Cricetulus griseus: one gene and its partners. The protein of the gene in region 3 interacts with the protein of the main gene of each other region in a pairwise test. Links are inferred from orthologs where the notes say so. Each region holds a gene or a part of one and is shown on either strand. Other genes may lie near its edges.

Region 1 (3,647 bases), on a different chromosome or scaffold from region 3:
AACCCTGTCTCGAAAAACAAACAAAACAAAACAAAACAAAAATGCCTGCAGCTTGAGGACTAGTGTTAATCCCTAGAATCTACACAAAAATGATGGGTGACCGGAAGTGAGGCAGATGAATCTGGGGTTTGCTGGACACTCATAACACAAGGTGTATGGTTCCTGAGAAACAAGCCCTGAAGCTGACCCCTGCTCTTGACACAAGTGCGTGCACCTGCACACACAGACAGAAAATAATAAAAACGGACAAAATGGCAACAATAATCTTTGCACTGTAACCTCCTTCTATTAGCCGGGGGCCATCATACCGGGAGCAGTGACCGCCCCTCAGATGTGACGAGCACATTGATACTGCACGGGAACTCCATCTGGTGGTAACTGAAGTCATAATCCACCTTCTGCCAGGTTATCAGGTTGCTCAGCGCAGTCACATTATGAACACCTGGAAGAGGAAGACTGTTACTGGCAGTGATATTTTAATCACCTACGCAAATTAGCTTGGCTGGCAATGATAATAGGACATGTGGTTTTCTGCTGCTTAAAGAAAGATAACAGTAGCCAACAATTTAGCAAGCAGAATGTTGGCAAGTCAAATGTCAACTAGATAAGCTACACAGACAATAATAGGCCAACTTGAACTTTCTGGGGCCAAAATACACCCAAATCTAATACCAGACACAAAGTAGAACTCAGATAAGTTCATTACTTCTTAGGTCATGGCTATGATTAGATAGGAAAATGATTTCTTTAGAAAGTGAGGTTGTTGAGTTTTCCCAATTTATGTATTTTTGAGACAGGGTTTTATTGAAGCCCATGCTAGCTTTGAACTCCTAGTTCTTCTGTCTCTACCACCAATGCAGGTGGGTGCCACCACTTCTGGCTAATCTTTACTGATTCTATGCTCCACTTTGGCTCACAAATTCCAAACACTCATTATTTCTCCCATCCACCTTTTGTGCCTCAGCCTCATACCAGCACAATATCACCTGCATTCTCTCCATGTGGGCATGATCTAGTATGTTCTTTGTCATTTTTAACATGTTACATAGCTGATGTTAGTTTAAACCATATGCTCTATCCCCCCCAAACTATAAAAACTGTTTATGAGAAATATAAAATATTACATTAAATCTTTTGTATCCTTTTTTGAGCTAATAAGCAATCAACAGCATGACATAACAAAACAGTTGGTGTATAATTTGTAGTATATGCTTTAGTCAAATGAATGTTTTAAAAATATTTGTTAAATGTAACTTTGTCTTGGAAGCCACTGCTAGATCTGGCTAAATGGAGTAAAGCCACAAGGGGTCAGGAGGCATCTGCATGCGTACCTGAGGTGTCCAACTGCCCTTGCTCTAGAAGAGTCTCATCAATGACCAGGGACGTGTTGTTGGGCAGCTGGAGGAGACCGCTGACCAATCGATTGGCTGTATAGTCTTTGTGGGGAATGAATTTCAATTGGTTCATGTTTTCTATTGTCATCTGTAGACGAAAAGACTGAGACAGAAATTGTAATGAGCAAGGATACAAGTTTCTCTATTTAAAAAAATGCACAGATACATATTTGGAGTCAAAACATTTGTGTTTCACATGGTATATCATTTCTAAGGGAGAGACAAATGTCTCTCTTAGGAACTGTGGCCACACTACAACCCATGCTTCTTATAGATAGCTGCTTGTTCTGTCTTCAGCTGGGCCTGGAACATGCTAAACAGAGAAGGCCACACAGAGATACAAAGAAAATTTGTTTTTTTCAAGTCTTGATGAGTAAATTTTACTCTGAAACAAATGGTAAACAACTGAGGTTCAAACATAACATCCCCAGAAGCTGAACCTCATTAAGGGATAGGAACTAGTAAAACATAAGAACTGCTGGTCCTCCTCACGGAGGCCAGAGAAAAGGCTCTGTGACTGAAAGCCCCCATTCCTTTACCACTGCAGACCTCACTGTCAACACTACAGCCCAGAGCATGGCCCTCCCCCATCTCTGCCTCTAACACACTCAACAGTCTCCTGTCTGCTCTAGATTGCTCTACTCATATATGTTCCAGCCTCCAGAAAAGCAAGGCATGGGAAGTTTGTGGAGGAGGAAGAAGACTACAGCCAAAATTTAAGAGAATTTTGTACTTTAGCTCAATTACTCTTAAAAAGAGGACAGGAATTGTTTACAGATACAGATGAAATCTCAGAAGAGGCAGGGCTTGTCAAAAAAGGTAGCTGGCTGTAGAGATGGCTCAGTGGTTAAGAACACTGGTTGTTGCAGAAGACATGGGCTCTATTCCCAGCAGTGGCTCACAGCTATCCATACCTCCAGTTGCAGGTTACCCAACACCTTCTTTTGACCACCATGGGCACCAAGCATGTTTGTGATGCACAGATATACATGCAAGCCAAACACTTATATACATAAAAATTTCACACTTTAAAACAAAAAAGTGTCCATGTGCTGGGGCTGGGGCTGATTCTGCCGTAGACCTACAGGCAGGACACATTTAACCAGTAGTAAAAGCTGAACGTTGTATTACAGAGAGAAGACAATTGAGAAAGGGCCTAGTACCAACCAGTATGCTAAGAGTGATAAAAGAGACAGGGTCAGAAAAAAGCAAAGCAAGAAAATTAACCAGAATAAAATGCAAACACCTACCACATTGTCGTCTCTAAGCCCCTTCTGCCACCCTCCCATGTAATAATGTAGCCAGTGTCTTCAGTGTGCCAAGAACCTCTGGCCTCACAACTGAGATCTGATGGCTTTTGGCACAGCTGGTACCACACCAGCTTCTTTGCTGACATCCCTTAGAAGTCACGCTGTTCCTTACTGCCTTTGCCTGTCCTCCAGGTAAGAAAACATGATATGTTCCCGGGCAGCCACCAGGTCTGCTCCCTTCTGTATTAATGGGTATATGGGCACCCCCAGTGTTCCCATCCCATTTCAAGGGTTTCAGTGTTCTGCTGTAACTTTTAAAAGCACACACCAGCGATTACTTTCTTGGTCTTGAACCACAAACACATAACTCAGAGATCCTATTTCAGGAGTTGTAGGCCTAGGGAACTGCTAAGATCCTATTAACAGGGTCTATGAATGAAAGTCCCATTTTTACTCTTACTCTTTCAAAATAGAGGGCAGAGAGTGTTTTCACTATAGAGAATGTGCTATCATCTAAGAAACACACCAGATCAAAACATACCACAGGTGTGAATTTGGGAACGGACTAAAAATCTAGGGGTCTCCCATTACTTTAGAAATTCAAGAGCTTGGTAAAATGCAAAACAGTGTCAGTTTTATCACTATGTTGATAAATCTAATGGATTATTCAACATGTCTTCAGTTTTAATTACTAATGTCAGAAATTAGGGAAAGCATAGCCCATTGAATATGGCCCTAAGTCCTCAGAACTCTGCTGCTTCTGCAGGGCCTGAAGTACAGACATGACAGGCTGTTCAGTTAAGGACCTGGCTTCACTTTTTAAATCCCATAGAATTGGCCAGCATTTTTAGTTACACAACTCATCAGAGTAATTCTCCTGTTCCCAAGATCCCAATACACAGATGGTATGTTCCAGATGCTTCCAAACAGCACCTAAAACTAGGGTATGGAGATAGGCCGCTTTATTACCTCGGCTGAGAGAATTGGCTCGTATAATTTAGAG
Region 2 (3,747 bases), on a different chromosome or scaffold from region 3:
CCTATGACAAAGACCCTTAGCCACCATGAAAGCAATTCTACCTTTATGACTAAGACACAAATAACTGGACTTAAATGTCCTGTGAGTCTGCTAATAGCGTCTAAAACCTTAAAACTTAAGATTTGGTATTTATTTTGTTACCACTCTCTTGTCTGAATCCTACTTACTGTATTTTCTGTATGCTCAGAGTTTTAAACCTGTTAGACTCACTCCTAAGAGTGATGGAAAAGCAGAACTGCCCCGAGGTTCCAGGAGTTGGCTAAAAAAGCATGATGCCTGTGTCTTTAAGAACAGACAAGCCGGGGCCAGCCGAGGACACGGGTTCAGGGCCACATCACGTGTGACCGACTGCTTCCCCCTCCCTCCCCCACCACGCACCCTCACATTCCCGGGCCCCGCCTCCTCGCGCGTGAGAGCGCGTGCGCGCAGCAGGGAGGGAGGACTCACGTGGCGCGTGAATGTGCAGCACTGGTTTTGCCTGGAGGTCGGATCAGGGACAGGTGTACCCAGGCGTCCCACAACGAGACTCCTTGTCTTGATAGGGGTCGCCTCCCCTCTTGTTCCTTTTGGTCTCAGCTCCAACAACTCCAAGGATTTTTCCCACCCACCCCGCGTTTATGGGGATCATGGGAGAACCAACCGGCCTGACAGGCCCTTTGACACCGGGACTCCCACAACTCTGATACTAAGTCCCAGTCGCAGGAATATGGACAACACAGAGTCGGTACCCCGACATTCTCTGCTAAAAGACTCTGGGAGCCAGGGTGCAACATCCTTTCCACTGGGGGTGGGGGAAGAGGATCCGGGAACCTAGTGCCCAGCTCTGGCCTGCTCCCATTTTTGATGTCCTTCAAGTCCAGTCCTATCTCGTTTCGCAAAATTCTGGACACAGACTTGGAGTCAGTCCGCTCCCCAGTTAACTAAGTGTTCTGAGTTTCTAGTCTTGACTCCGGGAACGTGAGGAAGCTTTTTCCTGAAGAAAAACACAGCCTCTCACCGGATAACCCTCACATTTGGGGGCCCAGGTCCCCTAACGGACCGCCGCATCTCATTGGGCAGACTTCCAAGAGCGTCGCGAAGCCCATCCCCTGCCCGCCAGCCCCGCCCCTTCGCCGCACCTGCGCGGTGGCCGCCGCCGGCTCCCAGAGTAGCCCGCGCGGGGGCGTGCCCCGGCGAGGAGCGGGGGGAAGAGGAGCCGCAAGAGCCGGGCCCCGGGGAGGGCGCGGGCGTGCGAGCTGGAGAGGGTGCCGGCGACAGGACCCCGGGGGGCGGCGGGCTCGGCGGGAGCCCGTGCTCCAGCAGGAAGGCGTCCAGGTCCACGTATTCCACGTCGCCGAAAGGCAAAGTGCGTTCCCACAGCAGCGGCGCAAAAAGACTCGGGCCAGCCGCCGGCCCTGAGCGCCCCCGCGGGGACCCACCGCCACCAAGCGCCCCAGTCGGGGCATCGGCTGGGCCAGCCGTTTCCAGGCCCGGTCCCGGGATGGGAGCTGAGGGCAGAGTCGCCTTCCGCTCCTTTTCCTTTAGGAGACCTGTGGGTCAGGGAGAGACGGGATGGGGTGGAGACACACAGGAGGGACCCCAAATGAAGAGATGAAGTATAGAGACCCGCATGGCGGAGATGCAGAGAGGTGAGGAGATGGGAGCAGTAGAGCAAAGACCCAGAGATGTGGGAACAGGTAGGGAGACAGGCGCCCAGAAAGAGGAAAGGCATACAGACGGGGTTGAAGAGACCCAGAGAGAGGAACAGTGTATAGAGTGTATAGAGGATAGAGACAGAAACACAGAACAACCCAGAGGAAAAGGATGGAAGTTTAGAAAGAGGGATTTAGAGACAGGGTGGGTCAAAGGTGAGAGACAAAAAGTGACAGCTCAGTAATTCCCCCACCCCTGGCCCTCTCATCCCCTCCCCCACAACGTTAGGGGCAGGAAGGGGCTCCACTGCTCAGGCACATTCCTCATCTCTAGTTTCCATGTGAGCGTTGAGGCCCCGCCCAAACCCGTGTCAGCACCGTGTGAGCATCCGACACACCCCCTCCCTTCCCCAGGACTACAGGGGTCCAGACTCGAGACTAAAGGGGAAAAACTGGGGGCTGGCACATAGAGTAGGTCCTAATGGCGGAAGACTTTGGGGACTAGACCCTTGGGCCTTTCGGATATCAGATTTGGCCATGGATGGAGAGAGACTAAACACCTGAGTGACCGAATGAGGACTGGCAAAGATGGGGCACCTAGCACATAGGTGCCATAGACCACCACCCCAACATTTGAGTCCTTAAGACAGTGGGACTAGAACTCACAGCTGGCTGGCTCTTTGGGCTTGCCGGTCCCCTGTAGAAGGCCCCGCAGCCCAAGCAGCGCTCCCCCACCAGGGGGGGTCCCGGCCGGGCCTCCCAACAGCAGGGGGCCCGGGGTCCTGTCGCTCAGAGGCCGCGCCATCGCCGGACACCTGCTCCCAGGTTCATGAGCTCATGGAGAGTCGAAGAGATGATATGCCAGTCACCTGCACACTCCTGTGGTTCGGACGAGTGTGACCCAGGGTCGGGAGAGCGCGGTGTGCAAGCCTCCAATATCAGAACGCTGAAAATCCTAAGAGCTCTGCGGGGGTCAGCCAGTCCTCTGCAGAAAGCTGTAACTCAAAGAGTGTCCCGGGAGGATCCTATAGTCTGGGCAAGTGGGTGACCAAGCAGCTGTCTCTTCTTCGCAACTGAGGGTCCCCAAGGGACACAGGCGCGCACTCCTTCTGTACCAGGTGGGCGAGCCTCTGGCTCTCGAAAAATTTGCACTTCTCGCAAGGAAAGGAGCTTTGCAGTCTGCACCTAGAGGTGTGCGCCCGGGGGAGGAGGAGGCGGCAGCCTTGAGGCGTGGCAAAAGCAAACTTATTTCGCGGAAAAAAAAAAATCCAAACCAAAACACCCGAAGTCAGAGCGCGTGCCCCTCCTCCGGGCCCCCTCCTCCTCTTGGGCCATGCATCCCAGCCGCGTGCCTGCCTCCGGCTTCAATCAAGGCCAATCAGGTCTCGAACCCTTGAGATGCCCGGCCAATGAGGTGACGGAATCTGCCAAGACCCTGGAGGCGCGTGAGGGGTTGAGCTTGTGAAGTTGCCTCTCCTTTTGGAAGAAGGCGGGACACTGACCTACATTTGGCCAATGAGAGGAGGCACTGGGGGCGGGACCGTGACCCACTTCGAGCCAATGAGGCAGGAAGAAGGGGGAAGCACATGGCTCCGCGCGTGCAGTCGGATTCGGGTGTGGGGCAGGAGGGGTGCATCTTAAAGGAGCAGCCTATTCACGGGCTCATTGCTTGGGAAAAGCGCAGAGCGCCAATTAGAGCATGTTAAGGCAGAAAGAAGTGGGCTTCAAGAAGGATTAGTTACTAATACCCAGATACTTCTCAATCGCGACTGAGAATCAAACCCACGAGAGGCTGGAAGCATTCAGTCCTTTAATAGGTTTGTTTTAGGGTGACTCCCCTTTCCTCGTGAGGAAGCTCAGGACAGGCGGGAGTAATCTTCGTAGGGGGTCTCAGCGACCATGAGAACCAGCATCCACTGCAAAAGAAGGTGCCGGCTTGTGGTGGGGAGGTTGAGCGCAGAAGGCTCTGCCACAATCTGGCTGCTAACGAGGGCTGGAATATACCAAGTTGGGGAAAATAGCTTCTCAGACTATATAGGGAGGGAAGAAGGTCAGACGGAACGTGCAGATTAGGCTGACGGTCTGCGTAAAGGTTGTAGTACTTGAAGAGGAAATG
Region 3 (3,747 bases):
TAGTTCAAGTTGCCCCCCTCACAGTGGTCTTTCCTTCCAAATCTCGTTCTTTCATTTACAAATTAAGGTAGAATCTGTGTTCCCTCCGGTAACGCAGTCCAGGGCAGGCATACGCTCAACTGCATGCACGTCCCAGTCCTTACTGTAGGTCATGACCCCAGACTCCTACAGGCCCGCTGCTCAGCAGGGAGTCACAGGACTTGCGGTCAGGGAGAAGAGAAAGGGTGGGCGCCGAGCAGGGGTGCGATAAGTAGGGGGTGGGACTCGGGTGCACGCTACAAAGAACAGGAATTCTGGCGTGCAGTGGGCGACTCAGAAACAAACGCCAAAGGTGCTCCCCCGAGACAAGCGGGTGGACTACCATGGAAATGCCAGGACCTCAGCCTCTGGGAAGCGTTAGGAGGTTAAAAGAGATGAGATCCCTTCTAAAGGGCTGGAGAAGATGTCAGTCCAGGTAGGACTAATGGAAACTTTATCGCGGTTCCAGGGCCTCGGCGCGCATGAGCTGGGAGGGGCCGGGAAGCTGGGAGTCTGGATGGAGGAGCAAGTTGGAGGTGATGGGAGGTGGGTGGGCAGAGCCGCAGCTCCTGGGCAGACAAGTTCAGGAAGGACAGCCGTTGGGGCCGTTGGATACTGGGAGCTGGCGCTCCGCCCTCTTCCCTCTCACCCCCCCACCCGCGCCTCCCACCACCGTCGGCGGCCCCTGCGCGTGCGCGCGCGCAGACACCGGTTGCCAAACATTGCATCATCCCCGCCCCCCGTCATCCCTCCCTCGCCGCACTCTCCTTCGCCCGCCCGCGCGCGCGCGCGCGCGCGCGCGTGCATGACTCACTCACCTCCTCCGCGGAGCCTCGTGACCCAAAGCCACTTCCGGGTCCGAGACAACGTAGCTCTCCAACCAGAGGGCGGGGCGGAGGCGGGGCCGAGGGGGCTCCTGAGTGGCGGATGTGAGGGGTGGGGCGGAGTCAGTGCCAGCGTGCCGCTTTCTGATTGGCAGGCTCCTGGGTCCCGCCCCCAAAAGAGGGGACGGGCCCGCATAAAATATCTTCTCTCGGCGCTGCAGAGGTCAGTAGCCTGAGTCTCACACTTCGGTCATATCATGTTGAAGATGAACGGGTGGCAGCGACAGAGCCAAAATAAAAGCCGGGACCTGAGGAGCGAGGCGAGTACCGACGCCGTCTACCCCTTCTTTCCCCATTCTCGCCAGCATGGCTAGTCCATAAAGTTGGGGGCGACTGCTCTGGAGGATGTAGCCCCACCCCTTCCAAAGTGGCCCTGTAGTCGGAGGGAGGGATGGAGGCGGGAGTCCCTGACCCTGGAGTGGCGCTCACATGACCCCTCTTCCTACGGGCGATTGCATCACCGTTCCCCTGCCTAGTTAGACTGTGCCGTTAGGCAGAGGGACTCTGGTTGTCCCCGGGAGATCCATCCTCCTCCTCTGTACGGCGAACTGCGGGCCATCCTAGGCCTGTCCGGTGAAAGGCGGGGCAGCAGGACACACCCCCATATAAAGGACTCTGGCTTTTCCCCCTCTTATCCAACAGCTTCGTTATCCCCGGCTCTCCCAAGCTCCTCGGGGGCCAGCATGGCCACCTTAGTCGCTGACCCTAAAGTTCAAGAGAATCGTAAGACTGACAGACCTTTGCTAGCGGGGTGCTGGTGGGAGGAGCACAGATGGGTTTTCCCCTTTTCCCCGGAGGCTTCTGTACAAGAGAGCAGCCTGGATCTGTAACCGTGGGACATTATTTGGGCTCTCTCCAGGGTCTTGTGCTGCTCCTAGGATTGAGTTCTGTCTCTTTCCCCAGTCCACTCCTCACTAATCTCTGTAACCATTGCGTCAGGCCGGCCCACTGTTTATCTCTGCGCCCTCTGGCCTGGGGCTCCACTGCTGATGAAAGCCAGGCCCCACACACTGGAAAACCGAGGGAGTTTCCCCCAGAGGACAGCCCTGCAGAGAAACACTCAGGGCAATATTGCATCTCCAGTCCCCAGAGATAGGCAGCACCGGCTCTGCCTCTGGGCTTAGCCCTCCATTCTCTGTAGGGGAAATTGGGGGAGTGGCTTTTTCCCTATTCATTCCTAACAAATGCTTAATAAACATCAACTATGTGCCAAGCATTTGAGAACCCAGAGTATATGAGGAGCAAAAGATAAAACTGATCTCAATTCGGCCTGGGCCTGTATTTCTGCAGAAAGCAAGAGCTGACAAATAAGAGTGCTCAGGATTGTGGGTGTTAGGAATTGCCTCACTGGGGTTTTTAGTGAAAGATCCAGAGAAGGCAAGCCTGTGAGCCATGCAGATAGAGTAAACGAGCTTTCCAGAAGGAACTGTGGGAGCAGAAGGGTTAAGATAAAGCATGTCTGGTAAAATAGGGCAGTGGCTGGATGGGAGTGAATATGAGAGAGGGTGGGGTAAACAGGAAGCCACTGGAGGGATCTGGGTAGAGGAATGAAATAAGGCCCAGTGTCATGGCATATGTATTTGATTCCAACACTCAGGCAGGGGCAGGCAAATCTCTGAGTTCAGGAGCCAGGACTACATAGTGAGACCTTGACTCAAATGAATACAAAAATAAAAGGATGGGAATGTAGCTCAATGGTAGACTGCTTGCCTAGCTTATAGAGGACCTATGGTCAACCCCCAACTATGAAACTAAACTAATAAAAGACAGGAATAGAAATGGTAGATCTTGATAGAGCATGGTGACATACACCTTAATCCCAGCACTCAGGAAGCAGAGGTAATAAAATCTGTGTGTATTTGAGGCCAATTTGGTCTACATAATGAGTTCCAGGACTGCCATGGCTACATCGTGAGACTCTGTCTAGAAAAAAAGAAATGGGAGATTTCTTGAATGAGTCTTCCACAGTAATCTTCGGGAAGTGAGGTAAATTGATTTCCATTTGGAAATAATGGGAACAGAAATACTTAGGCTTGCTGGATGGCAGTAACCCACACCTTTAATCCCAGCACTTGGAAGGCAGAGGCAGGTGGATCTCTGTGAGTTCAAGACCAGCCTGGTCTATAGAGCAAGTTCTAGGACCTTGTCTTGAAAAAAAAAGAAAGAAAATACTCAGGCTTTAGGTACTTAAAAAGAATGTATTAAAGCTGCCTGTGCTGCTTTATACTGAGTTGTGGGGATGTGAGAGGAGGAAGCAAGGATACCTTTTTTTTTTTTTTTTTTTTTTTTTTGATTTAAGCAAGTAGAGTTGCCACTTAGAATAATACAACCTAGGAAAGGAAAGGCCAGCAGGAGATTGTTGTAAATGCCTGATAGACATTCAAAAGGTGATATAGCAAGTAGACAACAGAGTTGGAGGTCCCAGGACAGGTCTAGACCAGAAGCGGCCAATATGATATTGGAGTATATGTAGCAAGTGCCACCCACATATTTTTCTCTTCCCTGTAGTGCAGCCCTCACTCTGGCAGATTTGAGGTCTATCTGGAATTTAGAGAAAGCTTAGTTGGCTAGGATGTTGCTATTATGTAATCAGGACAAATGTCAGTAACTAAAAATAAAATCAAGCTTGCCTCTGTCCTTGGAATTGGCGCACGTGTGTGTGTGTGTGTGTGTGTGTGTGTGTGTGTGTGTGTGTGTGTGTGTGTATGTGAGAGAGAGAGAGAGAGAGAGAGAGAGAGAGAGAGAGAGAGAGAGAGAGAGAGAGAATCAGCCTGGTCTACAGAACTAGTTTTAGGATAGCCAGAGTTACACAGAGAAACTCTGTGAAGGGGCGAGAGGGGAATAG

What was found.
Region 1: the proteins of Ddit3 (region 3) and Mcmbp interact in binary tests that used the Homo sapiens proteins (3 or more experiments, as listed by UniProt). The two-hybrid records come from large-scale screens. The link is inferred for Cricetulus griseus from reciprocal best matches to the Homo sapiens genes DDIT3 and MCMBP.
Region 2: the proteins of Ddit3 (region 3) and Dbp interact in binary tests that used the Homo sapiens proteins (3 or more experiments, as listed by UniProt). The link is inferred for Cricetulus griseus from reciprocal best matches to the Homo sapiens genes DDIT3 and DBP.

The regions. Positions count from the first base shown.
Region 1 is NC_048596.1:72,047,511-72,051,157, reverse strand, and holds part of Mcmbp (mini-chromosome maintenance complex-binding protein), read right to left. Parts: intron 1,498-3,647; coding exon 1,332-1,497; intron 443-1,331; coding exon 309-442; intron 1-308. UniProt on the Homo sapiens protein: Associated component of the MCM complex that acts as a regulator of DNA replication.
Region 2 is NC_048599.1:154,605,630-154,609,376, reverse strand, and holds the start of Dbp (D site-binding protein), read right to left. Parts: upstream 2,503-3,747; 5' UTR 2,437-2,502; coding exon 2,298-2,436; intron 1,530-2,297; coding exon 1,119-1,529; intron 1-1,118. UniProt on the Homo sapiens protein: This transcriptional activator recognizes and binds to the sequence 5'-RTTAYGTAAY-3' found in the promoter of genes such as albumin, CYP2A4 and CYP2A5. It is not essential for circadian rhythm generation, but modulates important clock output genes.
Region 3 is NW_023276806.1:130,434,603-130,438,349, reverse strand, and holds the start of Ddit3 (DNA damage-inducible transcript 3 protein), read left to right. Parts: upstream 1-1,370; 5' UTR 1,371-1,585; coding exon 1,586-1,625; intron 1,626-3,747. UniProt on the Homo sapiens protein: Multifunctional transcription factor in endoplasmic reticulum (ER) stress response. Plays an essential role in the response to a wide variety of cell stresses and induces cell cycle arrest and apoptosis in response to ER stress.